Rhinolophus ferrumequinum: one gene and its partner. The protein of the gene in region 2 interacts with the protein of the main gene of each other region in a pairwise test. Links are inferred from orthologs where the notes say so. Each region holds a gene or a part of one and is shown on either strand. Other genes may lie near its edges.

Region 1 (16,318 bases), on a different chromosome or scaffold from region 2:
CGCCATCTCTGACCCCCAAAGCTCTGACTTCTCTTCTTCTGCCCCGTGTGTCCCCAGTGCCCCAGGTGCTAAGGAGCTGTGCAGAGTTTGTGGAGGAGCACGGAGTGGTGGACGGCATCTACCGCCTCTCAGGGGTCTCCTCCAACATCCAGAAGCTCCGGTGAGTCAGGCAGTGCGGGCAGGGCTGTGGCCAGGTGGCCACGAGCTGGGGGGCGGGGCTGGTGGGTGGGGAGGGACAAAGATGCTGCGTGCTGTCTCAGGGAGGGGCTCCAGGAAAGGGGGGGCCAGGCGCCCCAGGCCCAGCCAGCGCCCTGCACACACACACACACACACACACGCCTCTCCACGCCCACATACACCCACCCAGCTTTTAAAAAAATTTAGATATAATCGTCAAACCATAAAATTCACCATTACAAAATGTACAATTCTGTGCCTTTTAGTATGTTCACAGGTACACATCCATCCCCACGATCTAATTCCAGGACATTTCATCACCCTGGAAAGAAACCCACCCCCATCAGCAGTCACTCCCCATTCTCCCCCCAGCCCCTGGCACCACTGGCCAACTTCTTTCTGTGGATTTTCCTGGACATTTCACACAAGTGCAACCAGACATCTGTGACCTTCTGTATCTGACTTTTTCACGTAGTATGTTTTCAAGGTTCATGCACGTTATCATGTATACCAATGCTTCATTTCTTTTCATGGCCGAGTGGTACCCTGTTTTATAGCTTCAGCACGTTTAGTTTATCCATTCACAAGTTAATGGCTCCCTGGCTTGTTTCCACCTTTTGGTGTTATGAATACGTCCATGTGCAAGAGTTTGTGTGGACTTGTGCTTTCACCCTCTGAGTATTTACACAGGAGTGGGATTGCTGGCTCATATGGAAACTCCACGCTGCACTCGTAAAGGAACTGCCACACTTTTTCCATAGCAGTTTCCTCATTTTACGTTCCCACCGTCAGTGTCTGAGGGTTCCACTTTCTCCACATCCCTGCCAACACTTGTTACTCTGTGTCTTTTTTTATTATAGCAACCCCAGTGGGAGTGAAGTGACAGTTTACCTATACTTGCATTTCCCTAGTAGCTAGGGAAACGTGGGCATTTTCTTGTGAGCTTTTTGGCCATTTGTATATCTTCTTTGGAGAAATGTCTATTCAAATCCTTTGTCCATTTTTAAATTGGGTCATTTGCCTCTTTTGAACGGTAAGAGTTTCTTTAATATGCTGGACATTAGACAGTTTTCAAATCTGTGAGTCCCACATACTTTCTTCCACTTCGTGGGCGGGCCTTACCTTCCTGACAGTGGTCTTGACACACAACAGCTTGTGATTTTAATGTTTAATTTATTTTCTCTTTGGTTACTTGTGCTTTTCATGTCAACTGTTGCCTAAAGCAAGGTTACGAAGATTTACACTTATGTGTCCTTCTAAGAGTTACACGCACCCATCTTACAGGTACCCAGGACACATTCAGGCTCATCCCCCTCTCCCACTCACCCCTACAGACCCCACATCGCAACTCACACCTGCAGCTACAGCCCTGACGGGCGTCCCCGTGGACATGCAGTTGTGTCCTCACCTCCGCTCTGCATGCGACACACACGCCCACCCTCCCTGAGTGTCTGCACCTCCCCAGGCAGGAGTTCGAGGCTGAGCGGAAGCCAGACCTGCGGCGAGACGTGTACCTGCAGGACATCCACTGCGTGTCTTCGCTGTGCAAGGCCTACTTCAGGGAGCTGCCCGACCCCCTGCTCACCTACCGGCTCTACGACAAATTCGCTGTGAGTTCAGCGGCTGGGGGGCTGCTCCGGGGTTGACATCCTAGGTGTGTCCAGTGATCCTGAGTGACAGGGACTCATCCCTGGGGAAGACCCCTTCCCTGAATCTCCTCTCCCCTGCCTGTGCCCTCCCCACCCCTCCCCTTCATCCTTTCCCTAAGGCCTGTGGACCACATGCAGGGGTGACACTGGGGGAAGGAGTAGGGACCAGGGGGTCAGAGCCCCAAGGCCCTTGGAAGTCACCTGGACTGAGCTCCCAACCATATGCAGGGGTGACACTGGGGGGGGCTCTACTTTTAAGGGAATGAGAACCCTTTTTAGAACTCTCCATGAACTGCTTGTGTGTTGACCATCTGTAAGAAAACGTGACAAAAATGCTGTCCAGAAGGAACCTTTACCACAAGTTGAACTTTACTGAGTGTGGCAGTATTTGGAGCTCTGACCGCTGTGGCCGCCGGTGGCCCACCGCGGCTAACCTGCGTAGGCGTGGCCTCCCAGGGCGCCTTGGAATAGCCATGCCCAGGGGCACCCACGGTGTGTGTGTGGGGGGCATGGCTGCAGTCCAGTGACAGAGAGCCATCCACAGAGGACTACAGCACAAGGTGGCAACGAGTTGTTCAGGGCCACAGATCTTTTAAGTGGCAGAGCCCAGATTCAGCGCCAGGTCTGTGTGCCCCAGATCGGAGCCGTCTGCTGCCAGTGTGTGTTGTTTCCTGTGGGGCAGGGACACTGGGCTACAGCCCAGCTGTCAGAGAGTCTGGCTCAGAGCTCCAGGCAGTAAGCAGGGCCAGTGCTGCAGCACTGACTCCGGCTTCTGGAACCACCCCCAATCAGGAGGCTGTGGCAGTGCAGCTGGAGCCCGAGCGCTTGGTCAAGATCCTAGAAGTGCTTCGGGAACTCCCCGTCCCAAACTACAGGTGTGTGTGGCCCCCCACCCCACCCTGACGCCTCTACACAGCCCAGGCGCACGCTCCTCCTGGCGCCAGCTCCCAGGCCCCAGCCCCACGCCTGCCCTGTGTGGCCCTGTGTGACCCGCTGGCCCGTGGTGCCCCTTTCTGCAGGACCCTGGAGTTCCTCATGCGTCACCTGGTGCACATGGCCTCATTCAGCGCTCAGACCAACATGCACGCACGCAACCTGGCCATCGTGTGGGCTCCCAACCTGCTGAGGTGGGCAGTGTGTGGGGACGGCTCCGGGAGGGCTGTGGCTGTGTGGGTCCACTGGAGAGGGCAGAGGGGAGCTCGCGGAGCCCGGTGAGAAACGCGGAGGTGCAGGGTCACCCTGAGTGGGGTGGCGCTCACCCCGTAACCTGCTCTGAGTGTGGGCAAAGTCCCTATGGGCAGCCCTTTGAGTATCATCACAGTGTCACCGAGCTCAGGGACTTGAACAGGACAGGTCCTCGTCAAGTGTTTGTTGGGCAAATATCTTGCAGTCTGTTGGAGAACTGGCCTGCATATCACTCTTTATGGTGCAAGGCAGATTGTGAGAAATCCCGATATTCATTATAAACAAGGCACCCTGGGTGTACGAGAAGGTAGAAATTAATTGAGACGAGGATGTCCAAGAAGGCTTCCTGAAGGAAGTGGCATTTGAGACTTGAATCGTGCATATGGTTTAAGAGAAGGAGATGGCTCTAAGGGCATGCAGGGGAAAGGGTGTAAAGTATGTGCAAGGAGAATTCAGGGAAGGCAGTGTGGTGGGGCTGGGGGAGAATAACTCCACGTCTCCACAGGTCTAAGGATATAGAGGCTTCAGGCTTCAATGGGACGGCGGCCTTCATGGAGGTGCGTGTGCAGTCCATCGTGGTCGAGTTCATCCTCACGCACGTGAAGCAGCTCTTTGGGGGTCCTGCCCTCTTGAGTGAGTGTCCTTCCTGCCAAATCAGCACTTCCGTCTGGGAGTCGAGTCAGAGCCATAGGAAGCCTCAAAGGGGCTCTAGTTCAGTCTGCACGTTTTACAGATGAGGAAACCGAGCCTTGCAGGGAGGTGGTGCTTCCGGCCACCTCTTCAGGGAGAGGGCCTGGAGAGACTATGGTGCAGTCAGGACTGGAGCAGGCTGCTCTCGGTCTGGGCATAGCTTGACTTCTTAATCGCCATCCTGGCTCTCAAGCTGGTGACTGATCATTGTCACGCCAGCCCACCAGGCCAGTGTCATTGGGATCTCCTGGCCATTTGTCCTGGAAAGCTCACTCCCTCTTGAGGGGCCAGACAGGGCTCTCCGGGCATACCCGTAGCCTGGTAGTGGGTGAGTGGGCAGGTAGATGAGCTGGGTGCCTGCAGCCCTGTCTTGTTTCTGTTCTTGGCCGGTCAATCCCTCTTCTTTTCCAAGGCGGTGAGATGGATATCGGATGGCGGTCCCTTCCAGGGGCCCGGGCGTCGGGCAGCCCTGAGGACCTTATGCCCAGGTCCCTGCCCTACCAGCTGCCGAGCGTCCTGCAGGCTGGGGATGGGCCTCCACAGATTCGGCCCTACCACACTATCATCGAGATCGCCGAACACAAGTAAGGCCTCCTTCCTGGACCCTCCTGCCCCACACTGACAGCCAGGTGCCAACCCCAGTGATTTCTCCATCCCTTCCAGGAGGAAAGGGTCTTTGAAGGTCCGGAAATGGAGATCGATCTTCAATCTGGGTCGCTCTGGCCATGAGACCAAGCGTAAACTTCCGCGGGGGGCTGAGGACAGGGGTAAGTCTGGGGAGGTATGGGGGAGCTGCAGCGCGGGTGGGGGGGCCAGGCCCTGCCTCTATGCTGTCCCTGCCTTGCAGATGACAAATCCGATAAGGGGACTCTGCGGCCAGCCAAGAGCATGGACTCACTGAGTGCTATGGCTGCGGCCGGTGATGGTGAGTATAGGTGTGCATTCCTGTGTGTCTGCGTGTGTGTGTGCACGTATACCCATGTGTGCATGTGCGTGCGTGCATGTGCTGTGTTATTAACAGCACGGGCCTGTGAGCACCTGTGTGGAAGCGTGTCTGTGAGGGTGTCTGTAAGGGCATAACAGTATTATGAACAAGATCACTGTGAATTCATGTGTGTGTGTGAGTGTGTGTGTGTGTGTGTATGTGGCCAAGTGTGCTCACTAACTTAAAAACTATGTAATGAGCGCCTGCTACATACCAGCCACCAAGCCAGGTGCTGAGTTAACAGTGGTGACTTCATTGCCCCTCTGTGGGTGTCCCGAGAACAAGCAGAGACAGAGTGGTGTGGGCGTCACGGCCCGTGACTATCTTCAGGCAGGGAAAGGGGTCCTTGGTATGTAAGTTCAGGCAGGTGACCTTGGGCCTGCTGGCTGTGGAGTGTTTGCTGGAGTGGCCAAGGGAGCTGGGAGCATTCCTGAGGCGTGCAGGTCCATTGCAGCTGGGGCTGTCGCCCACCTCTGTCCCCTCCGCAGAGCCAGAGGGGCTGGTGGGAGCCAGCAGCCCCCGGCCAAGCCCGCTGCTGCCTGAGAGCTTGGAGAGTGAGTCTGTGGAGGCAGCAGACGGTGAGCCAGAGCCGGACGCAGAGGCCCCGGGCAGCAGCAACTCTGAGCCCGGCACGCCGCGAGCGGGGCGGTCAGCGATCCGTGCTGCAGGCAGCAGCCGTGCGGAGCGCTGTGCTGGTGTCCACATCTCAGACCCCTACAACGTCAACCTCCCGCTGCACATCAGCTCCATCCTCAGCGTGCCCCCAAACATCATCTCCAACGTCGCCCTGGCCAGGCTCACCCGCGGCCTGGAGTGCCCTGCCCTGCAGCCCCGGCCAAGCCCTGCCTCTGGCCCCGGCCCCGGCCCCGGCCTTGGCCCTGGGCCCCCAGGTGAGGACCCAGGGGCCGCCCAGCACTGGGAGAGGGGACTAGAACTCCAGGTGGACCTGGGACGTTGGGGACATCGGAAGCCGCAGGCCTCGGGCTTTGGGTGGGTAACTTCAGCTGGCTCCCTGGTTCAAGGCTGGGGGATCCAGTGATATTTATTATGTCTGAACTTGTGTGAAACCCACAGAGAGGGGACCGGTCATCTACCCAAGGGTGGGGTCTGTGTCAGGGGTCATCGAGTCCAAGGTGGGGACGTGCACTACGTCATGGGAATAACAGTCATCACACTAACTCTAACAGCTGACATTTATCAAGGGCTTATCACACACCGAGTGCTGAGCTAAGGGCTTTGCAGGTGTCAGCTTATTTCGTTTTCTCATAATCCGTGACACAGGTGTTATCCTGTTACAGCAGCAGGACCTACCTGAGACTTGGATTAAGCAATTCGTTACTGATTTAGGTGGGAGGTGGCAGAGCTGTGGTCTGACCTTTGCTCTGACTCCACTTCCTCAAGAGTCACTGGTGACAAGTGCTGGGGCATACAGGGCAGTGGGTAAGGACGTGGGCCGTGAAGTTGGCTCATGTGGGTTCAGATTTCGTCTGTGCTACTTGTTATGTGACCTGGGACAAAGTGTTGACTCTCTCTCAGAGTCTCAGTTCCCTCATATGTATAATGGAGATAAATGTCCCGATAGGCTGGTTTTGTGTGGAAGGTAAGACAGCATATTGAAAAATGCATAGATGGTGCTTGGCACCTGGTGGGAGCCCAGTAACGGCAGCTGGGAGCCAAAAGTTCCGGTGCTGGGCCCACGCTGCAGCAATTGCTAGGAAGGGCTTTGACCTTTGTATTCCTGGGACTACCTTTCTTCCGACAGACGAGAAGTCAGATGCCAGTCCTGCCCCAAGCCCCCTGGCTGGCTCAGACCCAGAGGACGTGGCCGCGGGACTGGAGGACTGCCTGTCTCAGGAGGTGCAGGACTCCTTCTCCTTCCTCGAGGACTCAAGCAGCTCAGAGCCCGAGTGGGTGGGGGCGGAGGATGGAGCGGCAGCCAAGGCAGGAACTACAGCAGCAGCCTTCTCCCCCGGGGAGGACGATCCTGGGATGAGCTACCTGGAGGAGCTCCTGGGAGCTGGGCCTCAGGTGAGGAGGAGCTGGGCCGGGCTTGCGGGCGGTAAGCTGGCCGCAGGGGAGGCAGGACCAGCTGGTCCTCAGACAGTGCTATGCCCACAGGTGGAGGAGTTCTCTGTGGAGCCGCCCCTGGATGACCTGTCGCTGGATGAGGCACAGTTTGTCCTCGCTCCCAGCTGCTGTCCCCTGGACTCTGCTGGCCCCGGGCCTGAAGCAGAGGAGGAAAATGGGGAGGAAGTCTTTCTGAGTGCCTACGATGACCTAAGTCCCCTTCTGGGGGCCAAAACGCTGGCCTGGGAGGGTCCCGGCAGTCTGGAGGACGAGGCCACAGGGTGCAGGACTCAGGAGGCTCCAGGGCAGGCTGAGGGACGGCAGGCACACGGGGAAGTTGGGGACGACAAGGAGGCTGAGCCTGGCAGCAGGTGGGACGTCAGGGAGGAGGCTGAGGGGAGCCCAGAGAGGGAGCTAGAGGCTGCAGAGGCAGGTGAGGACGGAGGGGAGGCTGGGGGAAGCCGGGAGGTGATGGTCAGTCTGAGTGGGAAAGACACAGAGGCCATGGGCGAGGAGCCCAAGGGTCAGCAGGAGGAGGAGAGTCTGGAGGAAGCTAAGGGTGTGGAGGACACAGGAGGGGAGCAGGGGAAACACCAGAAGGAAAGGAAGACTGAGCGAGAGGAAGAGGCTGAGGAAGGAGAGGAAGCCCAGGTAGAAGCTGAAAGGGACCCAGAGCTCGAGGCCCCGGAGGACAGAGGTGCTGATGACAGCCAGGGAGCTGGACACAAACAAGAGGCTGAGGGAGGCAGAGAGGACGAGGAAGAAGTCAAAGGACAGAGGGAGAATGGGGACCAAGGGGCAAGAGAAGACGAAGGAGATGGTGAAGACGGCAGAAGTGCAGACGAATCAGCTGAAGGAGGAGTGGGGCAGGTCAGCAAGGAACGGGAGAGTGGAGACGGAGAGGCGGAGGGAGACCAGATGGCTGGAGGAGAACATTTAGAAGACGACTTCCTCTTTGAAGGGCCTTGTGGAGAGTCCCTGGAGGTTGACGGTGCCAAAGAGGGCAACGCCCAGCCCTCTGAGATGGAGCGGGCAGCCCCACAGCCACCTCGGCCCGAGGAGATGGAGCCTGAGGGGCAGCCCAGTCCGGAGGGTTGCAGCCTGCGGCCCTGTCTCCTGGGCCCAGCCGGTGGTGTGAGCATGCGCCTGGCTGCCACCCTGGTTCAGGTCCAACAGGTGCGCTCCGTGCCAGTGGTGCCCCCTAAGCCACAGTTTGCCAAGATGCCCAGTGCAATGTGTAGTAAGATCCACGTGGCTCCTGCAAACCCATGCCCGAGGCCTGGCCGGCTAGACGGGACTCCTGGGGAGAGGGCTTGGGGGTCCAGAGCCTCCCGCACCTCCTGGAGGAACGGGGGCAGTCTTTCCTTTGATGCTGCTGTGGCCCTGGCCCGAGACCGACAGAGGACTGAGGCCCAGGGAGTTCGGCGGACCCAGACCTGTACTGGGGGAGAGGACTACAGCGTCCTCCCCAGAACCTCCCCCTGTAGCGTGACCCCTGCCCATTTCCTTCGGCCCCTTAGCTGCTTGGAGCTCCCATCTGAAGGCACAGAAGGGTCTGGATCCCGGAGTCGGCTTAGCCTGCCCCCCAGAGAAGCCCAGCCCCCTCACCCCTTTCTGCCCCCACAGCGTCGAACTTATGCATTTGAGACACAGGCCAGCCCTGAGAAAGGCGAGGGACTGTGACGGCCAGAGCACTGGGCAAAGGGGACAGTAGTTGTCCTGAATCTATGGGTCCCTGACCAGCTGTGACTTCTGCAGCCTGAGCAGCTGTGGAGCCCACCTCTATGGGTGCCGGCCCTCTAGCTTCTCTCTGACTGTGGGAGGCACTGCCTCGGTTGGTTTGCCTGAACTTGGCTCAGACACAAAGCGCTTATTCCTTAGGAGATCCCCAAGAAAAGGTCCTGTTCCTAGGGAGTGAGGTCACTGGCCAGAGGGAAGAAAGAGCAGGCAGAACACTTAAGAGGCTTCTCAAAGTGAAGACTGAAGGGGGAACTCCAGCCATGTTTCTGCCTCCTCTGAGGCTGTGAACTTCTCTCCGTGGAAGCCCCCAGCGTGGGGGTGGGGAACAGGGCCAGCTCCGAGCCTTTCACACACAAACACTTGTAGGGTTGCTCAGCTTGTTCTGTTCTTGGACCCTGTATCCCTGCTGGCCCTCTTAGTCCCTGAGTAGGAGTGACTCCAGCAGGCTCTTTGAAGACCTCGGTGTTTGCTGGAGGGACTGGCTCCCTGTCTATCCCCTTCCACCCCTGCCTCTGTCCCTTGAAAGAAGAGGCCTGTCTGGCATCTCCTTTTTCCTTTGGAGTCATTTCCTTCTATTCCAGGGAAGGGGAATTGCTTCCCCAGGCAGGCTGGGGCCTCCAGTCCCATTCTAAGGACAGGGTGACGGTTCAGAATACAAGTTGTATTTTTACATGGAAACAGTGTGGAATTTCATTATTCTTATGCGAGTCTCGGGGGATAGGTATGACAATTTCATAGTTTGGCCAATTGTTGTCGTCCTGTTGTTCGTGAGCTCTTCCTCAGTTGCCATGGAGACCTGTGGCTAGAAACCAGAGCTGGGTTCTTGGCGGTCAGGAGATGGGGAAGAGAAACCTGCGTTTACATAACGTTCCCCACGCGCCAGTGAAGGCTGGGTCTCCGGTGCGCACGGAGTCTCTGCCCTCGGCTGTATGTAGCTCTGTCGGGTGGGGACTGGCCTCTCCATTGTAGTCGAGGAAACTAACGCTAACGAAGCCCAAAGGCCTGCCAGCGGTGTGGGCGGTAACGCGCGGCAGACGCGGCTGGGACCCGTGGAGTCCGGCTCCGCTCGTCCCGTCACGCCGCGCTCCTCCGAACCCGACGGGGGCAGGGCGGGTGCTGACCGACGAGGACGGGAAACGAGGTCCCCGTCACTGGCTTGAGCCTGAAAAGCTGGGGGCCCGGGGACGGGGGTGTTTGTGTGCAGCGGTCAGGCCTGAGCGCGCCCAGCCACGTCCTGGCCTCCAGCAGGAAACACTGCACGTCGTGCCCCGATTCCCCCTTGGCCGCCCGGGCGGCCTCGGTAAGGACGGCGCGGCGGCCACGCCCGTGCCCACATCTCTGCGGGCCTCACTCCCTCTCCCGGAACTGAACGAAACGGCTGCGTCCAACAGGAAGAGCGGAGCACAGTTAGGCGGCTCCCTCCAGCTGTCGCCGAAAGTGCAGCCTCGCGTCATCCTTCCGGGTTCCCGGGAAGTCTCCGCCCCTCGGCCCCAGCCACGCCCCCGCGCGACGCTCCCCCCAGCAGCCCTCAAGGCGCAGCGAAGGGAAGTGGGCAGCAGCTCCCGGCTGGGCGGGCCCACGGGGCACTTCCGCCCCTCAGCCGCACTTCCGCCCCTCAGCTGCATGGCCGCGCGCCGGAGCCGCGCATGCGCAGCGGTCCATGGAGCTGCCGGAGTCGGGACAGGGGCTGCTCTGTCGGGGAGAACCGGCGGCTGAGGCGGCCTTGGCCCGTGAGTGCGGGGCCCGCGGGAGGCTGGAGGCTGGGTGGGCCGGCCAGACAGGGCGGCCGTGGCTCTGTTTCCGTGTTTCAGGTCTGGGGACGCCTGGGGAAGCCTTTGTTTTGAGGGAGGGGCCGTGCCAGGCTCTTTATCTCCCACCCGCTTTGTGGGCCGACTCGCGCCCGCCCCGCGCGTCCCGCCCTGCGCGCCCGGCCGAGCGCGGCGCCCTCTCGGCCGGCTCGGCGGGGCCGGGGCCGGGGCCGGGGCCGGGGCGCGCGCCTGTGGCCGGCGGGCCTGCGGGAGACGCCGCCGCGCTCCCCGGCGGGGTCTGCGCGCCGGCTGCTGTCGCGACGGGACTGTTGCCCCTTTGTGTCCGGACCGAGTAGGGCTCTCGCTGGGCCCTCGTCGCCCGAGCGTGCACGGCCCAGCGTCCCTTCCTGCTCTCGGTGTCGCGTGCCCCTCGTGCGCAGGAAATGCTTCCGCACGTCCCGCGAGGATGTGGATGCGCAGCCCGAGCCGGCTGCTGTCCTCGGCGGCTGTCCCTGGCTGACAGCTGTGGGCGCTGGAGACGCCTCCCGCGCCCGGCGCTCGTTCATCGCCGCCTCCTGCAGTCAGCGCCGCGAGCCTGGAGGGGCACTGTCCCCGCAGGTTCCAGGACGGAGAAGCAGGTGGTCCCCAACGCCGGCGCCACTTCCCCTTGGGGACTGGGCGCTTCTTGCAGCGGTACTTCCTCCGGACAGTTTCACTTTCAGTTCCCTCTGCTTTTTTGTTTTGTTTTGTTTGGTTAACACTTTCCTTGGATCCGGGCTTTCCAAGGGTCATCCGCTGAAGATTTTCCTTGGATAGGAAAGGTTTGGGGGACCTAATGGGTAGAGAATTTACACAAAAGTTACCCTTTCATGTGGGATTTATTTTATTGGTTTGTACCATGTAGCTGTTTCTTTCTGGAGGCATCTGTCTGCTCAACCCGTTGTTTTTCCTGCCCCCTGGCTGGGTGTCAGGGTCCTAAGGCAGGCACTTTGTGGATGGATTCCTCCCTCATTCATTGTCCCTTGTCTTTCCCAACCCTGGCCTGGAGGTTTCTCCCTTCTTGCTGAGGCTCCATTGATTTGGAGTTGTCATGGCAACATTGTAGCAACTCTGTTGTTCTAGGCTCGGTGAATAAAATACATGGGGCTTGAAGAGGATACACTTGGGCTTGAAGAGGATACACTTGGGCTTTTGAATCTTTAACCAATAACAAATGACATAAATCTGCACACCCCAAAACAAGAGCCCTGTCACTGGAATGGGGCCCGGGGGGCCAAGTGTGGCATTGATAATTCGGGAGGGTTTTCCAACGGCAATGGGGTTCAAGTTTTCCCTTCCTAAGTTTGAGAACAGACATTTCTTGGTTCACTGTTTATACAGTTGCTTTTGCAGTCACTGTAGCCCCTTCCCCAGCATCAGAATGGAGGAAGCTGATTGTGCCCTGTTCTTGGCTGTGTCTTCATGGAGCCTAAGTTCTGGATATGGGCGGGTGGGGTGGGGTTGGGAGGAAGGCTCTTCAGTTTCCTAGAGTCACTGCAAACTACCTGATTTCTACCAGGACTTAGCACTCAGGCCTGTGAGTCAGGAGATACAAAGACTTCCAAAGAAGGACCAGTTCCTCGGATGTGCCCCCTCACAGAGAGATGAAGGGGTGAGTGAAGAAGAGGTAGGGTCTGGGATGGGGGACGGGAGGCCTAGAGAATGCAGAATGGCTCAGAGCACTGGCTCTGGAGCCAGGCAGGCCTGGGTTCAGGTTACGGCTCCATCACTTACTAGCTCTGTGGCTGCCCTTCCCTTCTGTAAAATGAAAGTAGTGTTACCAGCGCCGCTCTTGGTACTGAATAGGATGGTGCCTGTTCAGTGCTTAGCTCGGCTTTCATCCGCAGGGAACACTCAGTAGATTCTAACCTAACCTCGATCTGTGGGGAATGCCAGTGAGCTTGGGAGCCACATGTTACTGGGCCAGTGAGCTTTACAGTCACTCCTCCCCTGATCCTCCCCATGTCTCCCCATGCCTCCACAAACAGGCAGCAGAAAACAGCTGAAACGGAAGAGGGGACAGTGCAGATCCAGGAAGGTGAGTGGTAGAAACAGAAGTGAGCTGGGACCAAGAGCTCATCATGGCCGCTCTCTCTCCCATGGGCTACCTCCTGTGCTCTTGTAATTCAGGTGCAGTGGCAACTGGGGAAGACCCAACCAGTGTGGCTATCGCCAGCATCCAGTCAGCCGCCACTTTCCCTGATCCCAACGTCAAGTACGTCTTCCGAACTGAGAATGGGGGCCAGGTAAGGGAGGGGGCCAGGTGGCTGCAGGTGTTCCTGGGGGTTGGGATTGAGGGAGGTCGTTGAACCTGTCAGGGGAGACCTGGCTTGGAGGATGAGGTGAAGCTGTGGACTATTTAGGGGGTGGGGGTGGAGCATGACGTTTGCAGTAGAGATTGGTACGGGGTAGGGCTACGCTGAAACCTCCGTGTGGGGGCAGGAGGGGGAGAGGCTGGGTCTGTGTCCCTGAAGGGCTCTTATTCTATCCACGAGAAGCTCTGTGAGGGGCCCCGGGAGCCCTAACACGTACGCTCTCATCCTCTCTTCCCCTCCCTGCTTCTAGGTGATGTACAGGGTGATCCAGGTGTCCGAGGGGCAGCTGGATGGCCAGACTGAGGGGACTGGTGCCATCAGTGGCTACCCTGCCACTCAATCTATGACCCAGGTACAGGGGTATGGGTGGGGGAGGGAACTGGCTCTATGAAGAGTGAAATGAAGAAGGGAAACAGCACGGGGGCGGGGGGGGGGGGGGAGGAGGCGAGGCCCCCAGGGCTGCCTGTGCCTGTCTGGATGCCTCTCCCTCAGGGTCGCTACAGAGCAGTTCCTTGGGGGGTTATCTGACTGTCACTGCACTTAGTTCTCTTGCTCCCCTTGCAGGCGGTGATCCAGGGTGCATTCACCAGTGACGATGGCGTTGACACAGAGGGCACAGCTGCTGAGACGCATTACACTTACTTCCCCAGCACAGCCGTGGGGGATGGGGCGGCAGGGACGACATCCGGGAGCACAGCAGCTGTGGTCACTACCCAGGGCTCCGAGGCACTGCTGGGACAGGCGACCCCTCCCGGCACTGGTGAGATGCTGTGAGGTGCTGGCTGGAGGGGCTGGCATGGGCTCCCCGTGGCCCCTAAGGATCACTGAGGCCTGCGCAGGTGGGGGGTCTGGGGCTGCCCTTCCAGCAGGAGGAAGTTCTCTCTTGTCAGGGGCGGGTCCCAGGGCCTTGGCCTCAGCTGGGTGACGTTTCTCGCCCCGTGTCCTTATGGCACCCACCTGCACGCTCACAGGTCAGTTCTTTGTGATGATGTCACCACAAGAAGTGTTGCAAGGAGGTGGCCAGCGCTCCATTGCTCCCAGGACCCACCCTTACTCCCCGTGAGTAACCCTGTCTCTTCTCAGTTCCGTGAGTGGTCTTAGTCCCTGCCAAGTCTTGTGCGATTCCTGACCCCACAGTCCAATCTTATTTTCTGACCTTCCATCACTCTGGCTGCCCTGGGCTCCGTCGTCAGGAAGTCAGAAGCTCCCCGGACAACTCGGGATGAGAAACGCAGGGCGCAGCATAACGAAGGTAGGGGTGCTGGGCTCGGGGACAGCGGTGATGTCTGAGAGGGGGACCTCTCGCCGCTCAGCTTGTCCCCACTTTGCCCCACAGTGGAGCGCCGCCGCCGAGACAAGATCAATAACTGGATTGTGCAGCTGTCGAAGATCATCCCCGACTGCTCCATGGAGAGCACCAAGTCTGGCCAGGTCATGGCGGGACCCTGGCGGTGGGCGGGAGGCCCAAATTCTGTCTCCTGGGCCTGTTCCCAGATGTGGTCGCCAGTGGGCACTCACGGCCCCGCTTTCTTCTTATCTCTGTCTGAGGCTCCTCCGGGGACACCGAGGTCCAAAGTGTGAGCGTGCTTCTGGGACGCAAGCCACGTGTCTTATCCTACTCCTCGTTTTGTTGGCTTTTTCTTGCAGAGCAAAGGTGGGATTCTATCCAAAGCCTGCGATTACATCCAGGAGCTTCGGCAGAGTAACCACCGGTTGTCTGAAGAGCTGCAGGGGCTGGACCAGCTGCAGCTGGACAATGACGTGCTTCGACAGCAGGTAGATTCCTGCCCTCAGTGCAGCCCCCTGCGACCCCATAGCCTCTGGCCCAGTTGGGGACGCTGCACTTCGTTCTCATCTTTTTCCCTTCAGCGGTGGACATCTCAGTAAGTCAGTGCCACGCGTCTACCCCTCCCCTTATTGCCTCCTCCTCATGGTAGGTGGAAGATCTTAAAAACAAGAACCTGCTGCTGCGAGCCCAGCTGCGACACCACGGAGTGGAGGTGGTCATCAAGAGTGACAGCAACTAGCTGTAGGCATCCAGGGGCTGTGGGCCCTACAACCCTGTTCCCAGGACTGCAGACAGCCCAGGAGCAGCAGGCTAACCTGGGCCCCTTTCCTTCACTGCCCACTTCTGGCACGGACGGGACTGGGGGAGCTGAGAGGCGTGTGTCCAGAGGCCCTGTGGTAGCAGCCTGCAGGGGTGTGACACATGGATGTGTCCTGACAGCCTCGCCCAGCCCCACCGCGCAGCCCTGGGCCCTGGTGCCCCTCCCGCACAGTGCGTGTGCCGGCTCCATGCTGGGTACTGGACACACGGAAGTGGGGGGTCGCCCAATGCTCGCTCACAGTGCCAGCAGAGGGTCTGCTGAGCAGTGCTGCTCCGGCTGCCCCGGGACTCGGGAACTTGCACTGGTTCTCCCTCCCCTGGAGGTCAGAGGTGCACCTGAGGATGCTGGGGAACGGATGCTGAGCAGTGGCTGCTGCCCCAGGAGGAGAAGACTGGCCCTCAGCCGAGGCCTATGCAGGAGCCTCTGGAGCCAGGGAGAGCCACAGGCCGGGGCTCAAAGGATCTTCCCCTTCCTGGGGACTGTGTCTTTTTTCCCTTTTCTTTCCTTTTTTTTTTTTTTTTTTTTTTTAAAGATAAAATATTCAGAGCCACAGTTGTCTCCTGTTTTCCGTTCTTTTTTGGGCCCCTGGGGCGGGATGGAGGGGGCACATTGCGCTTTGACCAGTGAGGGCTGGGCCAAGATTCCACCGTGTGCTGCTCCTGTGCTCGTTACTCCGAGTTCTAGTACATGGGCCAGACCAGTGGGTCGTCACATACGCCAGGATTTCTCTGGTTGGCGAGTGTTAGCTGCACTGCGAACCAGAGCTGCGGGCCGGTGCGGGAGGCTATGCCTTGCTTCCGGTTCCGGTCTCTGTTCCCGGGGGACAGGAGAGATGCGGGCGCCCGTGGGCCGGCCAGGCAGCATTCCTGCAGCTGGCGATCGCGCGCGCACCATGGCTGCAGGTACCTGAGGGGGCCCTGGGGTCGCGTCCTGCCCTCCGTGTGGCCCCGCAGGAGGAGTGTAGTGGGGTGGGGGGCGTGGCTGAAGTCCACAGGTGCCCCTCCCAGTTGGGATGCCGCGGGGTGGGGTGTGCGACCTTGTGGGGCGCCGTGCGGGGTGGGAGCGCGGCAGGCCGGCCCCTCCAGGCATTCGTGCCCCCTTCCCCCGCAGCACCCACCGTCTTGCTCCCAGAACTCCGCTCGCTCCTGGCTGCTGGCCGGGCCCGGCTTGTGGACGTGAGGTCTCGGGAGGAAGCGGCCGCCGGGACCATCCCCGGGGCGCTCAATATTCCGGGTACCGGATTGGGGGGGGCGCCCGCCACGTGGTGGACCCAGGGGGTCTTAGCCGAGGGGCCTCACGTAGGGTGGTGCGGAGAGGCTCTGCCGTCCCTCCCCCCCAGCCGGCCCTTCAGGTCTGAGAGGTGACAGGCGGCGGGGAGGGGCTCCCGAGGCTGCGCCGCGGAGTCCCGCCTCTCCTCACTCCCCAGAAAGCGGCCTCAGGTCACAGGTGGTTTGGCCGACCTCCAGCGCAGGCCGGCGGCATCCTATCCTTGAGGTTGGGGGTGGTGGCCGCCATGTTGCTTTGGGGGTCCCTCGAGATTTATTCGACAACCAGGACCCAGTCCTTCCAGGCAAAACCTCTGAACCTGAGACCGCCAAACTGCGACTTTCCGACT
Region 2 (15,707 bases):
CAAGGTTAGGACAAGGGCGGGGATGTTGAGACGGGTATCATTCTCATCCAGAGGGGCTGCAGAACTAAGGTGTCTGATTCCTCCCATTACCTCAAGCCTGAGGCGGGCTGTGGGACCGTGGTAAGCCACTGGCAACACCTCCCCCACCACCACCGTCAAGCCCCGGCCAGGCCTTGATCCAGCCCCTGAAGTGGCTCCAGCTCTCTTCCCGGCTCCTTCCTGTCCAAGACAATGGGGCAGGAAGCAGGTGTTGGGGGCCTACAAGCCACTCAGCCACCTCCCCTGAGGCTGGAAGGGGCTTAACAGCGATAACAGCGCCCTCCTGTGGCACACGCAGGAGCTAGACGGGCCCCCACCAGGAGGAGGATGACAACCCTCTTGGCTTGCATCCCACAGCACTCTCTTCCTCTCAATCCTGGAGATGAGGCAGAACAGATGTAACTTCATTTGTCAGATAAGACAGTCGAGGTCCAGAAATATCAAATAACTTGTCCACGTTGATGCAGTGAGTCGGTGAAGCTGAGGACTGAGCCTAGGGCTTCTGGCTCCAAATGTTCTCCCTTTAGCCTCTGGGTTCCAATGAAACCAGGCCAAAGCTTCAAGCCTTTTATTCCATTTTGGCAGGTTTGTATAAAAATACTCTCTTTAGGAAAATAAATAGCAGCTGCCCTTGCGGTGGAGGCTTGGATTCCCTGGAATCTCTGGAGCTAAAGTCTTCTCAGAGCTGGGGGCTGCAGGTCAGCTCATCACAGAAGCCTCTGGCACCCTCTTGAGCTGTGCCATTCAAGAGGAGCCGGCAAAATGCCCTGATTCAATCACCTGGTGCTGCTGGCAGTGGGGCAGGGTGAGTTAGTGTTCTAGGCTGGTAGCATATCACTTGTCAAGGGGTAGGGTTGGGTGGATCACAGGAAGAGGGTGATGAAGACTATAGGGGTGGTCTGGAGGGGGTTAGGGCTCCAGAGGACCTCTAGGAATCTACAAAGTCCTTTGGGGCTGCCAGGAGTCCTCTTGCACAAATGGGAAATCTTTTTTCTTTGATTTAGTGCAAACTGTGCTAGAGAGGCCAGCTCTAGAGAAACTGGGCAGCTTTGGTGGCCCCAAGCTGGCTCACCCAGGAAGCAAAATATGCTCAATCTCATCTGGAGGGATGGAGAAGAACCTGCTGGGGTTGGGCACAGGATATGGCCCAGGCCAGCTGGACCAAAGGATGGGGAGATGTTGGCTAGTGTAGCACCCGCAAGGAGGGGAGCTGAGGTGCCTCATAAGGCCAGGAGGGTGGGGGAGCCGAGGGGGTCAGAGGACGGATCCCCACTGCTGCTGCTACTCCTGCGATGGGCTGAGGCACAGGGTTCAGGGGTGCTAGGGTAGGTGAAGACCAGACTGGGGGTGAAAGGAGTCAGGGAGGGTGTGGTCATGAGCGTGGGGGTGTGCAATGCTTCGGGTTCAAGAACAGGCCCTGGGGACAGGGAGATACAAGGCACAGGGCCTGAAGGGGCTGGTGGGCTGCTGGTGCCGCCTCTGCCGCCAGTGTCCCTCTCCTTGGTCCCTCCCGGGATTTTGCAGATGGGGCGGTGGGCTTCGAGCACCAGCTCCAGCCGCTCCTTCTGCTTCTGCAGCTCCTCAATCTCTCGCTGCAGCCCTGATTTCTCGTCTTCCAGTTTGTCGGTCTCCTGCAAGAAGAGGGTCAGGAGAGGAGTCAAGAAGATGAGCGCCGAGCCGCGGTGGTAGTAATTGCGGGGTTGGGGTAGGATGAGTGGAGTCTACAAGTCTGAACTACAACTCCCATGAGCCCTTGGGAGAAAAGGGGCACGACTCCAATCGGGCTGGGGGAGTCTTAGGAGATTGTCAGCTGAGGCTTCAGCTCTGCTCTGCTCCGAGTAAGGCATGTTGCAACTAATTTTTAATCCCTTTTTCCTCGTCCTTTTCCCCGAAGGACTCCCTCCGACAGGGAGCTGGGGGAGAGGACTTCATATACTGGGGCCCCGTGGGCTCACGGGAGCCGGGGCCCCTCGGAGGTTCGGTGGACCCGGGCCTGGACACCCTCTGCACCGACCGATGCTCACCGCCTGCAGGAAGTCGGTCAGTTCCTTCCTCCGGTTCCTGCACTTGGCCGCGGCCAGCTTGTTCCGCTCGCGCCTCACTCGACGGCGCTCCTCCTCCTCTGGGCTGATCTGGGGGGTTGAGGGAGCAATGAGGTGGATCCTGGGCCACTGGCTGTTGGCCACTTGCTTGGTGCGGTGACCCAGTGGTAGGACCCTGGTGGAAGGCATGGCAGCGCGGGGGTGCCCTCATCCTGCGTTTTAAGTATCATCGCACCCTGACCGGTTCCCCGCACACACGCTTTAGTAAACTTGCATTAGTCAAATTTCCTCCTCGAACCCAGCTTTTGTGTTCTGCGATGCCCCTCTTGGAATGCCCTCCCCCGTACCTCTACAAACCTCCTCATCTCCCAGGACTCAATTAAGATACCTCCGCCTCCGGGAAGCAGCCTTCTCTCATTCCCCAGCTAGAAGTAAGTGGCCTTTTCCCCTTGGCGCTCCTGGGACCGCCACTGTTTTTCGAAGGACCCCTATTCTTTTCAGTCTCTTGATAACCAAGTCTCCGCTTTTCCAAGGGCTGTAAGCACTAGGAGAGGCTAATGAGTGCTGCTAAGTAGTTATTTATTGGGAATCTACTGTGTGCCAGCTAAGCACTTTAGGTAGATTCATTCTTAACACAACTTTCCATATAAGGAACTGAAGCCCAGGGAGGATGAATAACTTGTTTGTGGCCCTAGAGCAGAAATTAAAATCCACTCTATTCAACATGAAGCAGGACGCCAGCTGATGGAGAGCACCTCCCCCGAAAGGACACCACTCACACCTCAGCCTCAGTCTATGAGTACCCAGAATCAAAGGTCACCCTGAAGGAAGAAAACCCAGGAGTCTGCCTCTGGGTTTCACATCACAGTCCCCTTCCCGCTGGTCACAAAGGCCAACCATTCTGTTTCTGGGAAAGCCTCCGGTGGCTGAGTGTGCATCTTTCCCAGGATCCCAGCCTCCTTCCCCCTCCTCTACCCTGCTGTCAGAGCAATCACTTGAACGTGTAAGTCTCACCCACTACAGTCTCATATACCAAATGCTCCAGGAAGAGAAAAGAGGTGCCCCTCCCTTAAAGACTCTATCTCTTATGTATTTTGTTAAGGACTTTATTAGCAGTGTGCAGGCAGGAACCCTGGTTGGGGAGGCAAGAATTCCCAGCTTACTCTGCTTCAAGCCTTCTCTTAGCTCTGGGTGAGGCTGGCTTGGTGGTTAGGATCTAACTATAGAATTGGATAGACCTGTCTCATTCCTCACTCCTTGTGCGATCTTGGGCAAGTGACTTTACCTCTCGGCACCTTCATTTCCTTTGCTGTAATATGGGGAAAACCAGAGCGCATTCCCCAGAGGGTTTTTGTGAGGTTTTAAATGAAAGGGAAAAAGGCCTAAAAAGTAGCTAAAGGCAACCCTCTCTGTTCTTTCCCAAGCTACGGAGGCAGCATAAGTCCACCCTCTTCATACATATCAACAGGTAGATACCCACTACTGTCCATGTACCTTTCCACATGCACACCTTACATGTCCTCACCTCCATCTCCATTCTTGCTCTTGCCATCCCGTCTACCTGGAATGTCAACTCTATCTATGCAAATCCTACCCATACTTCTTTGCTACTATGCCTCCCTGATCCAAAAGTGACCTCTTTGCCCTCTGGGTCTCCCCAGGGATTCCTTGTATTTTCCTCCTTGGCCAATAATCACCAGTGGTGCTACCTTCTCCCCCCTTCGAAGTCTGTATTCTCCTTTTGGGCAAGAGCTTGTCCTGTGCACTTTAGCACCCCTGAGGGCATCAAAACCAGTGCAAAGCCTCTGTTCCTTACCTGTTCACTGGGCCGGCGACGCACCCCTGGAGGTGGCCCCAGGGCCCGGATGACTCCTGGCCGGGGCTGTGGGTAACTGTATTGGGGATAGGCCAGAGGCCTGGGGTAGTTGCTGGGTCCCAGGAAGTGAGGCTGAACCATCCACTGCAGCTCCTGGCTGCCACTCACAGCGTTGATGCTTGGCACGAAGTGGAACTTCTGAGGAATAAGAAATGGAAGGCCAGGGGTGAGGTCTGTGTGGATCGAGGGGCTTCCGGTACACAGAAGCCACACTTCTGTCCATCCTCAAGACAGCCCCTGAGAGACCAGAAAGGGCACAGCTTGGCAGTCAGAGAGACTGACTGACAAATTCCCACTCGTGAGCTGTGTGACTTTAGGCAGGTCACATAACCTCTTTCTACCTCCATTTTCCCATCAGAGCTAATACTTATAAAGTGTGAATTCCAGGCACTGTCCCAACCACTTTGCAAATACTGACTCATATACTTTGCACAACAGTATCTTCATTTTCAGACAGGAAAACAGTTGTCTATAGACACACAGCTGGTAAGTGGGAAGTGGGGTTTGGGCCCAGGCAGCCAGGCTCTTACCCACTCCTGCATCCTGCCTGAGTCCCATTTGCACAAAGAGGATAATTACAGCTCCTAACTCTGAGGGTGGCTGTGAGAATCAGGTGAGATAATGTGTGTGACAGAGCCTGGTAAGTGGCAGGTACTAGGGGTTGTGGGGGGCAAGAGACATTGCTCTGGGTTCAGGCTGTCCCAATTCTAATCTTAGCTCAGTCGGTTACTGGCTGTGACTCTGAGCAAGTTATTTAACTTCAATGTGCCTCAGTTTCCTCGGTTTTAATATTGTCATAGGTGAGGATTATGGCATTTCATTGATGCTAAGAAGTACCCTTTAGTTGATCTGAAAGCATAGTTTAATTGGCAACTTTTAAAGAAATTTAGTGGTACAAAATAATGATGGGTTTTAAAAGAATAGGGTCTTAGATTCTGTGAAATACGGTAAATGCGGTGAAAACCGCCCAGCATGCCTGGCTGTACGGTCTGTGCTCCAGGTATCTTTCAGTCAGAAAGGTGAGGAATGGGTTGAGATGGGGGCTCAGTGTTCGGGAGGGGAACTGAGGTCAAGCCCTGGGACTGGGCTGTGGGTGTGGGCGCCCCGTCGTCCGGGAAGCGCCATCTCAAGCCCAGGCAAGTCCGTACAGCGGTGTCCCCGGCCCAACGCTAAAGTCCCAGTGGCCCAGTGACCCCAGTTCCGGTCTTGAGGCAACGCCGGGGGCATCTCGCGCTCCGAGGTTGTCCGGGCCCCCGCCGCTCCGGGCCAGGAAGGGAGGGGCGCCCCGGGTGAGTCACCCACCGTGACTCGGCCGCCGTGACTCGGCGGAACGGACGCCGCTCCTTCCCTCCCCTAGCGACACGTGCTCGCCGCCCCTCGACAGGAAATGGGCACCTGCTGTCTCCCGGGTCCCCCCAACCCCCAGCGGGCGCCGTTCGGTGCCGAAAGTCAGGGATGGGGGCGTTACCCGCCACATGACCCCTGGCACGTCCCGGCACCTCGCGGTCTCCACTGGCCCCAACTTGTAAAGGAAGAGGTCAAGAACCAGTGTCCCGGAGCCCACCAGACTGCATTGCGCCGAGAAGGGGATAGGGACTTGGCTACCGGGTAGAGAGGGACAGACAAACGGACAGACACACAAACGGTCACAGAGAGTGCGGAGGATTCCCAGTCTGTCAAGGCTAGCCTGCTGATGGATCCCGCCTCCCTCCTGTGTGGGGACATCTCAGTCGCAGCTCGGACTCCGATCCCATTCCCAGGAATTTAGTCCGAGATGAATGAGACCCTGTGACCCTGTCAGGGCTAGGACTAACCCAGGTGTCCGGGGTCCCCTTCTAACTCAGGTGACAAAGAAATTAGCGGCGGAGAGGAGGAAAGAAAGAAGTTAACAGAGACCGAAGGACAGGTAGCTACGGTAAAGGGGGCAAGAGAGGGGACGTGTGCAGATCTTTGTTCCGCCCGCCGCGCGCGTTCCGTGGGGCTGTGAGGGAAAGTGCCCGCGGACCACGAAGAGTGGGCAGGACCCACGACCACGGCCCCCAGGGCCGGTCCCTACTCCTGCTTCCCGTCCCAGTCCGGAGCGTGGGGCAGAGGACCTTAGCGTCCCAGGCATCAGGTTCCCCTCACCTGATGCTGGCCTGTGGCCGGGGGCTGCGCCGGGCCGCCGTACGCACCGCCGGCCCCGGAGCTCGGTCCGGGTTCTCCGAAGTCTCGGAACATGCCCTGGGCTGGCTGCACTGTGGGGTCCGCGTCGGCGGCTTGGCTTCTGACTCACTCGCTCCGCGCCGAGTCTTTTCTTTTTATGAATGAAAAGTTCTCGGGCTGAACCACTTCGACGGGGGTGGGGGCATTGCGCAGCGGTGCGGGTCACCTCAGGGCTCCGCCTCTCCAGGCGCACCGACTTTTGCCACTCCGCCCCGAACTTTTCGACGCCTCCTACCGTCCCGTAGCAGCCTTTTTTTGGGGGGGAGGGAAGGGAGGACTTGGCGTCCTCCAGCGACAGCGGCGGTTCCGCCCCCTCTGACGCAGCTGCCCATACATGGTGCAATTTCCTCGCCGCACCCGGGCGGAGCCGAGGATTCCCCCGCAGATTTACGCACCTGCGAGCATCCAGGGCCCCGCCCCGTCCCGCCCGGCCACCAGGCGCAGACAGCGAGCCTGCGCCCGCGCCCTCTCACCTCCTGGTAGGGCCTCGGTTTCTCCATCCGTAAAATGGGAAGAAATACTCACATAGATACCTTGCTGCCCGTGGGAGTTGGAATGAAGAATGTGAAAAGGGTCTGGAAACTAAAGGGGATTCTGAATATGATTGATATTACTATAATTATTACTACTACTATTACTATTATTGTTGTTATTATTCACTGGATGCTTATTTCATGCCAGGAACAATACTACTACCATCCAACACTTCCTGTCGTGGCGTGGGGGCACTTCTACTGGCATTGTTTTAAGATTCAAGTATATCGAAAAGTGAATAAATGACAAACCGGGGTTACAAAAGTGGTGGTATATTTTAAATGCCTGCAGTGAACAAGTTAATGCTTTGAACTACCCACAAATAGGAGGCAATATAATTGTGCTGCTCACAGGATAGTTTCAGGAGCTATAACAAGTTTTTAATTCAGAGCCTCTCTAAGCAGTTAGAGCCTTTCAGTTCTGTGGCCTGAAAAATGCCATCTTCTTTAAATACTGTTCGCGCTCTTCTGGGGCTGTGTGGTCATCAGCTTTGTTTGGAGATTATGTCAAAGGTCTATGTAACTGAGGCCAAGGTCAAATATCAACAACCAAAGGCCAACAACCCTGGGAGGTAGGTACCATCATCACTCCCATTTAGCAGATGGGGAAACTGAGGCTAAGAGATGTTGAAATGAAGTGCCTAAGATCACTAAACGGGTGGCTGAAGCATTTTGCCAAATTAGGGCTGTGAGAGCTCCAAGCCCAGGTTCAGGCAAGATCTTCCAAAGCCCTCATAGATGCCTTTTCACACGTGCAGAATGTCAGTGCTGAGACCACCCCAAAGTTTCTCTGCTTCCTCCTATTCTACAGATGAGGAAACTGAAGCCCAGAGGGAGGAAGGAACTGCCAGTGTCACACAGCTACAGAAAGAGAGCTGGGCTCTCTGGCTTTCTACTGGTGCTTCCATTTGATCAGCTCAAGTTTTGTCTTCAGGGAAAGAAAACTTCAGGGAGGTAGAGTCCTGGGCTGCCGTTTTGGGGACAGAGGCCAGGGGTTTGTGGCTACACACAGGACTTAGAGCCAGAAGGCTAGCTTGGCCCTGGGCTTCCAGTCCCAGAGCTACCATTTTCTGTCTCTGTGACCCTAGGTGGTTGGTCACCTACCCTCTGAGTCCCAGTCCCTGTGGGAATAATTGAGCCTCCTGCTGACCTCATGGGGCTGCTGTGGGATCAAATGAGATCACAAATGTGAAAGTGCTTTGTAAGCTGGAAATTGCTGGGCGCTCAGAAGGTGGTTACCAGGCTGGTGCCTCCTCCTTGCTCTTGTTCTACTCAATGCTTATCTTTCTCTAAAAGGAAAAGAAACCAATTGCAATTTACCAGAATGAGCAATGTAGAAGTGTGTGTGTGTGTGTGTGTGTGTGTGTGTGTGTGTGACAGAGAGAGACAGAGACAGAGACAGAGAGATTTTTTGAGGCAGTGTGACCCATAGGAAAGAACACACATGCTGGAATCAGACAACTCTGGGCTCTGAGTTTGAATTCTGCTGCTCACCAGCTGTATGACCCAGGTGAGGCACACAATCTCTCAATGCCTCTGTTTGCTCATCTGTAAAATGGAGACATAATAATAACTACATCTCAGGGTTGCTGGAGAATAGAAATAACACATATGTGTAAGCACAGCATAGTAAGAACTTGACAAATAGTAAAACTAAATACACATGTTAATAAAAACCCCAGGGTTGGGAGCCCTTGGGGCTCTGATCACACCCTAAAGTCCTCGTGCAGCGTACGTGTGCACACACACGCTCATTAACTGATATCTGGACTCCTTGGCTGAGTCCAAGCTGGACAGGTCAGGGTGACACAGGGGGCCAGGTCGGGGCACATGCAGGGCCTGAATCAGGTCAGCCTGGACGGCATCCATCTGCCTGCTTCAGAAACACCACCCAGTCTGCTCCCCACGCAGCCTGGGGCAGTGCCTGAGCCAGGCTCAGGTCTCAAGTGTGTGTGTGTCTGTGTGTGTGTGTGTGTGTGTGTGTGTGTGTGTGTGTGATTACATGATTCTGAAAGTCCCTTCCTGCTCTAACCGTCGGTGGAGCCACAAGGAGGTCCTTTCAGAGGCAGCACATTCCAAGCTCCTCAGTCACTAACGCCTGCCTGGTGGCTGCAGAAACGTTCCTGGCCCCTGACCTCACCAGCCCCGACCCAGGGAGGCCAAGCGAGAATCCCAGGGGGCCCCAGTGATTAGAGGAGTCTGGGGGCTGTGAGGTCTGAGAGACCCAGACACTGTCTCTTGGCAGCTGTGTGAGCCTGGCTCAGTCACTTTCCTTTTCTGAGCCCCTGAGAATCCCCACTTCTTGGGGCTGCAGTGAGGAGAAAGGAGGTAATGGAGGAATGTGCTTTGCACCCAGTAGGTTCTATCAGTGCCCCCAGGGCTTTGGAGGTGATGTTTATGTTTTTCAGTTTCCATTCACTTTTTAAATTGGAGTTTATTTTTAAAATTGAGGTGAGAGTCACATAACATACAATTAACCATTTTAAAGTGTACACTTCAGTGGACTTTAGTGCATTCACAATGTTGTGCAACCACCACTTCTCTTTAGTTTCAAAACTTTTTTTATCATCCCAGAAAAACATCCCATACCCATTAAGTAATCCCTCCCAATTCTACCCTCCCCCATCCCCCTGGTAGCCTCTAATCTGCTTTCTGTCTCTATGGATTTGCCTATTCTGGACTTTTCATATAAATGGGATCCTACAGTATGTGACCTATTGCATCTGGCTTTTTTCACTTAGCATAGTGTTTTCCAGGCTCATCCATGTTGTAGCATGTATCAGTACTTTGTTCCTTTTATGGCAGAACAATATTCTATTGCATGGGTATACCACAATTGGTTTATTTATTCTTAAAGTGATGGACATTCTTGTTGGCCATTATGAATAATGCTCCATGGACATGTGTACAAGTGTTGTTTGTGTGGACGTGTGTTTCCATTTATCTTGGGTGTATACCTAAGAGTGAAATTTCTGGGTCATATGGAAACTCTGTTTAACCTTGTAACGATGGGCAGACTGTTTTCTAAAGTGACGGCACCGTTTTACATTTCCATCAGCAATGTATGAGGATTTCAATTGCTCCTCATCTTTGCCAACACTTATTTTCCATTTTATAAAATGAAAGACATTCTAAAGGATGTAAAGTGGTATCTCGTTGTGTTTGATCTGCACGTCCTTAAAAAACAATCGTGTTCTGTAATGATCAATAAACATCTTTTCATGTGCTTGTTGTGCATTTGTATATATTTTTTGAACAAATGTCTATTCAAGCCCTTTGCCCATTTTTAATTGGGTTGCTTGCTTTTTGTGTTGTTATTGAATTTTATGAGTTCTTTATATATTCTGGCTACCAAACCCTTATTAGATATATGAACATTTACCCCCATGTTTTCTTCTAATAGTTTTATAATTTTGCTTCTTATACTTAGTTTGCTGACTAAATTGAAGTTTAACGTACATAAAGTGCACTCATCAAACACGTTCAGCTTAATGACATTTTACATGTATGTAAACCTGTGTAGCTACTGCCCTGATCAAGATATAGGACATTTCTGGGGTGGCTGGTTAGCTCAGTTGGTTAGAGCGCGGTGCTGATAACCGAGATTGCCAATTATATCCCTGCACGGGCCACCGTGAGCAATGCCCTCCTTAAAAATAAATAAATAAACAAATAAAAATAAAAATTTATTTTAGAAAAAGATACATTTCCAACAGCTCAGAAGCTCCTTGTACTTCCTCCCTCCCCACATAAGTAGCCACTATTCTGACTTCTATTATCATAGGTTAGTTTTGCCTCTTCTCAAACTTCGTAGAAATGGAACCATACCGCGTGCACTCTCTTGGGTCTGGCTTCTTTTCCTCAACCTGTGTGAGGGATTCATCTGCATCATTGGATAAAGTAGTAGCTTGGTCTCTCCTATTACTGTGTATGTAGCATGTCACTGCCCGAGTATTCCACAATCACTCCCTTCATGCTCCTGATGGTGATATTGGGGACTCTTCCAGAGGGGCTATTGAGAATAAGGCTGCTGTTTTCTTGGATATGTGCCCAGGGGTGGAATTGTTAGGTCCTAGGGTACACATTTAGCTTTGATTCTCTCCAACAGTTCTCCAAAGTAGTTGGACCGTTTCACATCCCACCAGCAGTGCATAAGCGTTTCAGTCACCCCACATCTGGAGGTGACATTTCAACTCACTTCAACAAACATTTTTTTCTCCTTAGTCCAGGCCCCATCCTTTTTCTTCTGGACACTCTCCAAGGCCTCCAGCTCAGCTCCCTTTTTTCCATTGCCCACCCAGCAGCCTGAGGGATTTTAAAAATCCTGACAATGTTCACAGAGGAATCTTTTCAAAATTCTGACCATTTCACCCTTAGGCTTGGACCCTTTCAAGCTATGGCACCCTTTGCATTTCTACACAGGAGGCCCTGTAGCCTGGGAAGGGGTGGGGTGGGTGTGCGTGATACACCCTGTTTTCTTTTAGGTTGCATGTTGGTTGTGGGGTGCTTAGAAGGCCAAGAGGGTAACACTTGTGGCTCACATTCATTGAGCTCTTATGAACCATATCTGTTTCAAAGCAATTTATTAATTCTCACGACAGCCCTGTAGAAATAGATGATACTATTATACCCATTTTACAGATTAGGGAATGTAGGCACAGAGAAATTAAGCAACTTGCCACAAGCCACACAATGAGGACATGGTGCAGCCAGGATTTGAACTTAAGCAGTCAGTGGCCAAAACCTGAGCTTCTCAACGTCTCATTAGTCTGTCTCTTGAATCAGCCAGAATCCTTAACATGGCATTCCAGATCCTTCCAGACCTGGGCCGCCTGCCCAGGCTCCTCCCTTCTCAGCCTCCAGTTACTCTCCCAGCTGCAGGCTCTCTGCCGGACTGAGCCTCTCAGTTTTGCACAGGCTGTTCCCTTTGCCCAGGATGCCCTCCCTCATCTCCTAACACAGCCAACTCTCTCTCACCCTGCAGATTTCACTTTCCCCACCACTTCCTCAGGAGGCCTTCCATAAATCCCTCATCTAGATTAAATCCTTTATGCAATACAGTCCCATAGCACTATGCAGGATATTACTTTTTTTTTTTTTTTTAAACCTGCTTAGGATAATTTTTAAAGATTTTGCCTTTTGGGGAGATTTTGCATTTAGCCTACCAGCACAGCTTGGGATAACAACACAAAGTTGAGTTTGATGGCCTGGGCTGAGGAAGAGGAGAGTGAGAGGGGGGCTGGGCTGCTGCCTCCAGGGCCTGGTTATCACCCTTCCCATTCTCCAGATGCCGGCTGAGCACCCACAAGTGTCCATCTGCTGTCCTTTGAGCCTCATGTCACACTGCTCTGATGGCCGTCTTGTCCCCATGAGGCAGATGAGGACTCTGAGGCTGCAGAGAGGGAAAGGAGTTGGGTTACCATCTCCTTCCCTGGAATTTCCTCCCCTCCCTGGCCACCTCTCCAGCCCAGGCAGCTGGAAGGGCATCACAGATATTGTCCCAGCCCTAGCCCACCTCTGATTTGTTATGCAATCTCACATCAGTCCCTTCCCTTCTTGGAGCCTCAGTTTCCCCTTCTCGCAGATTAGTAGTTTACATATGGTGATCCTTCAAACCAGAAGTTTCAGTGGAGATCCACTGGGGGAGGGGCAGGTCAGGTCTTGGGCCCTTCATCCCTGCTCCTATCAGCACAGCTCTGGACCCCAAGCGGATAACAGCATGAAGTCTGGAGTTAGATAGCCTGGGGTTGAGTCACTTCCTGGTTATGAGACCTGGGCCATTCCTTTAACTTCTCTATGCCTCAGTTTCCTTATTTGTAAAAAACGATATGATAATGTTTATGCCTGATTTTCATGATTGTTGGAGTAAATGAGATAAAACATGGATGGTGCTCAGTGTGGGACTGGTATAGTAAGAAATTAATAGGGGGCCGGCCCGGTGGCTCAGGCGGTTGGAGCTCCATGCTCCTAACTCCGAGGGCTGCCGGTTCGATTCCCACATGGGCCAGTGGGCTCTCAACCACAAGGTTGCCGGTTCGAATCCCACAGGGGATGGCGGGCTGTGCCCCCTGCAGCTAGGGATGGCTGCTGCACCTGGGCCTGAGCTGCGCCCTCCACAACTAAGATTGAAGGGACAACAACTTGACTTGGAAAAAAAGCCTGGAAGTACACACTGTTCCCCAATAAAGTCCTGTTCCCCTTCCCCAATAAAATCTTAAAAAAAAAAAAAAGAAGTTAATAAATGTTGGGGCCGGCCAGGTGGCTCAGCGGTTGGAGCTCTGTGCTCCTAATGCCAAAGGCAAGGCTGCCGGTTCGATTTCCGCATGGACCAGTGGACTCTCAACCACAAGGTTGCTGGTTCAGTTCCTCGACTCCCGCAAGGGATGGTGGGCTGCGCCCCCTGCAACTAAGATTGAACACAGCACCTTGAGCTGAGCTGCCGCTGAGCTTCTAGGTGGCTCAGTTGGTTGGAGCGCGTCCTCTCAACCTCAATGTTGCCCGTTTGATTCCCACAAGGGATGGTGGGCTGTGCCCCCTGCAACTAACAATGGCAACTAGACCTGGAGCTGAGCTGCGCCCTCCACAACTAAGACTGAAAGGACAACAACTTGACTTGGAAAAAAGTCCTGGAAGTACACACTGTTCCCCAATAAAGTCCTGTTCTCCTTCCCCAATAAAATCTTTTTTTTAAAAAAAAGAAATTAATAAATGTTAATGAGAATTCTTTTGATGTTATGTTTTGTGCCATGTAGACCCTCTCCTCTGAATGGAGGGCAGTAAGTTCTCTGCTGTCGGTGCCCAGGAAGGCTCTGCCTGCTCAGCCTGGTCCGGAAGTTTCTTGGAGCAACTCCTGTTCCCTGAAGGCCTGGGCCCAGGGCAGTTGGGGCCTGTCACCCAGTTCTTGGACTCTCCCATCCTAGGATGAAAGGCTGGCGGGTCTGGCCAGGGCCAGTAAACTGCCCCACCCTCGCTGGGAGTACCTCCTGGCACCCGTGTAAACTGAATCATGGGGGGCGAGGGGGTGAGTCATGAAGCCTGTGAATGGGATCCAGATAGGGCACAGCTTGCCTCTGTGGGGCCCTTAGCCATGCCCCATGGAGCCACAGTTCTCCCCTCCCCTCCAACACCCTGGCCCAGGGCAGAGGAAACAGGATCAGCCAGGCTCTGGGGCCTGGAGGCTGAGCTCTCAGTGTGCACGCGTGCTCCTGGGTGTGCATGTCTGAGTGTGTGTGGTGTCGGGGAGGGGGGTTGGCAGACAGGAAAGGGAGGCTCTGACTCGGGAGAAAAGGATTGGGGTTTGGAAAGGAGTCAAAGCCCTAGAGAGGAAAATTTTGGCGGGAATGCTTCGCTGCCCTCTCCTGGCCTCTGCCGGTTCAGCTGATTCTTTTTTTTTTTCCCTGTAGGAACCAGCTCTCTCCCTTTAGCCTGGGAGGAGCCAGGGCACGGAGAACTACAAGCCTGTTTTCTAAGGTTCCCAGGGGCCAGAGCTGCTCAGGGACCAGGGAGAGAGCTGCCTGCTGCAGAGGTGTTTACAAGTGCTCTTGGGAGATGTGGAGGCTACCGGAGAGTTTCTAGCCTTGACCATGGCCAAATTCCTTAACCTCTTTCTGCTGCAGTTTCCTTCTCAGTAATATGAGGGCTGTGAGGACCAAAGTGAGGACAAACTGCTTAGAGTAGAGCCTGGTGCAGAGGAGGACTGTGTATGTGGTTGTTCTTACTGAGCCTCAGTTTTTCCATCTAAAAAATGGGTGAGAAGGAGGTGCTCTTTGTCTAGCTGTCACTTTGGTTCCAGTCTCTGGTGTCATTCCCCAGAAGGTTGCCCCCTATGCCCAGCCACCCTGCCTGACTCTGTCCCTCTGTCCAGCCTGGAGGGGGTTTTCGTGCCCTGCTGGGAGGCCAGTCATCAAGGAAAGACGGGGGTGGTGGGTTTCTGGGCTGGGTGCCCTCAAGTTACCCCTCAATGTCCTGGGGAATGCATGTCAGAGAAGTGGGGAGTTTCCCTTCTGCGATGAATCAGCTGTGTGACCCAAGTCTCATCCCTGCCAGGGCCCCTCCCAGCAGGCGGCAGTGGGGCGCAGTTGCCCTGCTGGGAAAATCCCCAAAACCTAGCCAAAGCTCTGGCTGAAGCTTTCTCCTGACTCAGCTGTTTCCTGTCCACCCCAATTCAGCACCTACCCACAGCTGGAATCCAGAGTCAGGCAGAGATGATCCCCATTTTCTGGTCTGCCCCTTTGGGAGCCTCCTCTCTGGGGCTCGGGGGTTCGCAATGCGATGAATGTGAGTACCTCCTTTCCCTGGCCTCAGCCATCCTTCCCATAGTTTTATAAAAGGGAGCAGAACACAGGGGCTTGTCCAAATTGTCCCAGCCTAGTTCACCCTGGACCAGGCCATTTCCTTACTCCCGTGTAGGAAGGGGTCAGCCAAATAAGGCAGAGTGCCCTGGCAGGCTGAGGGGGTGGGTCTTGGGGAGTCCTGGGCCTGGCAGGGGAGCAATCCCATGATAGGCCTGTAAGATCCTTCCTGTCCAAGTAGGCTTAGTCAGTGTACTCTCTGGGACTCAGTTTCTCTACCAGTAAAATGGTAATCTTAGTCTTGGCCCAGCCTCTCTCCCAGGGGGTTCTGAGGACCCAACCTGCGTACTTTACAGACTCCAGAGGGGTTGGCCAGAGAATGGGGAACGTCTCTGCGTCTCTGCCAGACTCTGGATTTCAGCTGGGTCCTTGCTGGCTCTTTGTTATCTTTGCAGCCCCTGCACCCCAACAGCGCTTTCTTATAGTGGGGACTCAACAATACATCAGGTGCTCTGGAGTTGGATGACCTGGATTCAAATCTTGGCTCTGCCACTTATGGCTTTATAACCTTGAACTAATTACTGAACCTCTCTGGTCCTCAGTATTCTCTTCTGCAAAATGGCAACTATAATAGAGCCAGATGAGGCTTAGAGGAGGTAACACACATGAACACTTAGCACAGTGCCTGGCTCATGTGATGAATAGAATGAGGAAACAGTCA

Evidence for each region.
Region 1: the proteins of FOSL1 (region 2) and USF1 interact in binary tests that used the Homo sapiens proteins (3 or more experiments, as listed by UniProt). The link is inferred for Rhinolophus ferrumequinum from reciprocal best matches to the Homo sapiens genes FOSL1 and USF1.

Annotation. Positions count from the first base shown.
Region 1 is NC_046305.1:2,247,140-2,263,457, reverse strand, and holds USF1 (upstream stimulatory factor 1), read left to right. Parts: upstream 1-10,085; 5' UTR 10,086-10,223; intron 10,224-10,972; exon of another isoform or gene 10,973-11,062; intron 11,063-11,799; 5' UTR 11,800-11,884; coding exon 11,885-11,892; intron 11,893-12,268; coding exon 12,269-12,318; intron 12,319-12,410; coding exon 12,411-12,526; intron 12,527-12,845; coding exon 12,846-12,947; intron 12,948-13,159; coding exon 13,160-13,355; intron 13,356-13,566; coding exon 13,567-13,654; intron 13,655-13,788; coding exon 13,789-13,847; intron 13,848-13,931; coding exon 13,932-14,026; intron 14,027-14,242; coding exon 14,243-14,371; intron 14,372-14,532; coding exon 14,533-14,622; 3' UTR 14,623-15,253; downstream 15,254-16,318. Other genes in the region: ARHGAP30 (rho GTPase-activating protein 30), read left to right, coding at 58-160, 1,643-1,787, 2,619-2,701, 2,846-2,953, 3,517-3,644, 4,114-4,285, 4,365-4,468, 4,549-4,626 and 3 more; TSTD1 (thiosulfate:glutathione sulfurtransferase), read left to right, coding at 15,536-15,605, 15,814-15,936.
Region 2 is NC_046294.1:5,924,897-5,940,603, reverse strand, and holds FOSL1 (fos-related antigen 1), read right to left. Parts: upstream 6,947-15,707; 5' UTR 6,178-6,946; coding exon 6,085-6,177; intron 4,096-6,084; coding exon 3,898-4,095; intron 2,172-3,897; coding exon 2,064-2,171; intron 1,671-2,063; coding exon 1,260-1,670; 3' UTR 592-1,259; downstream 1-591.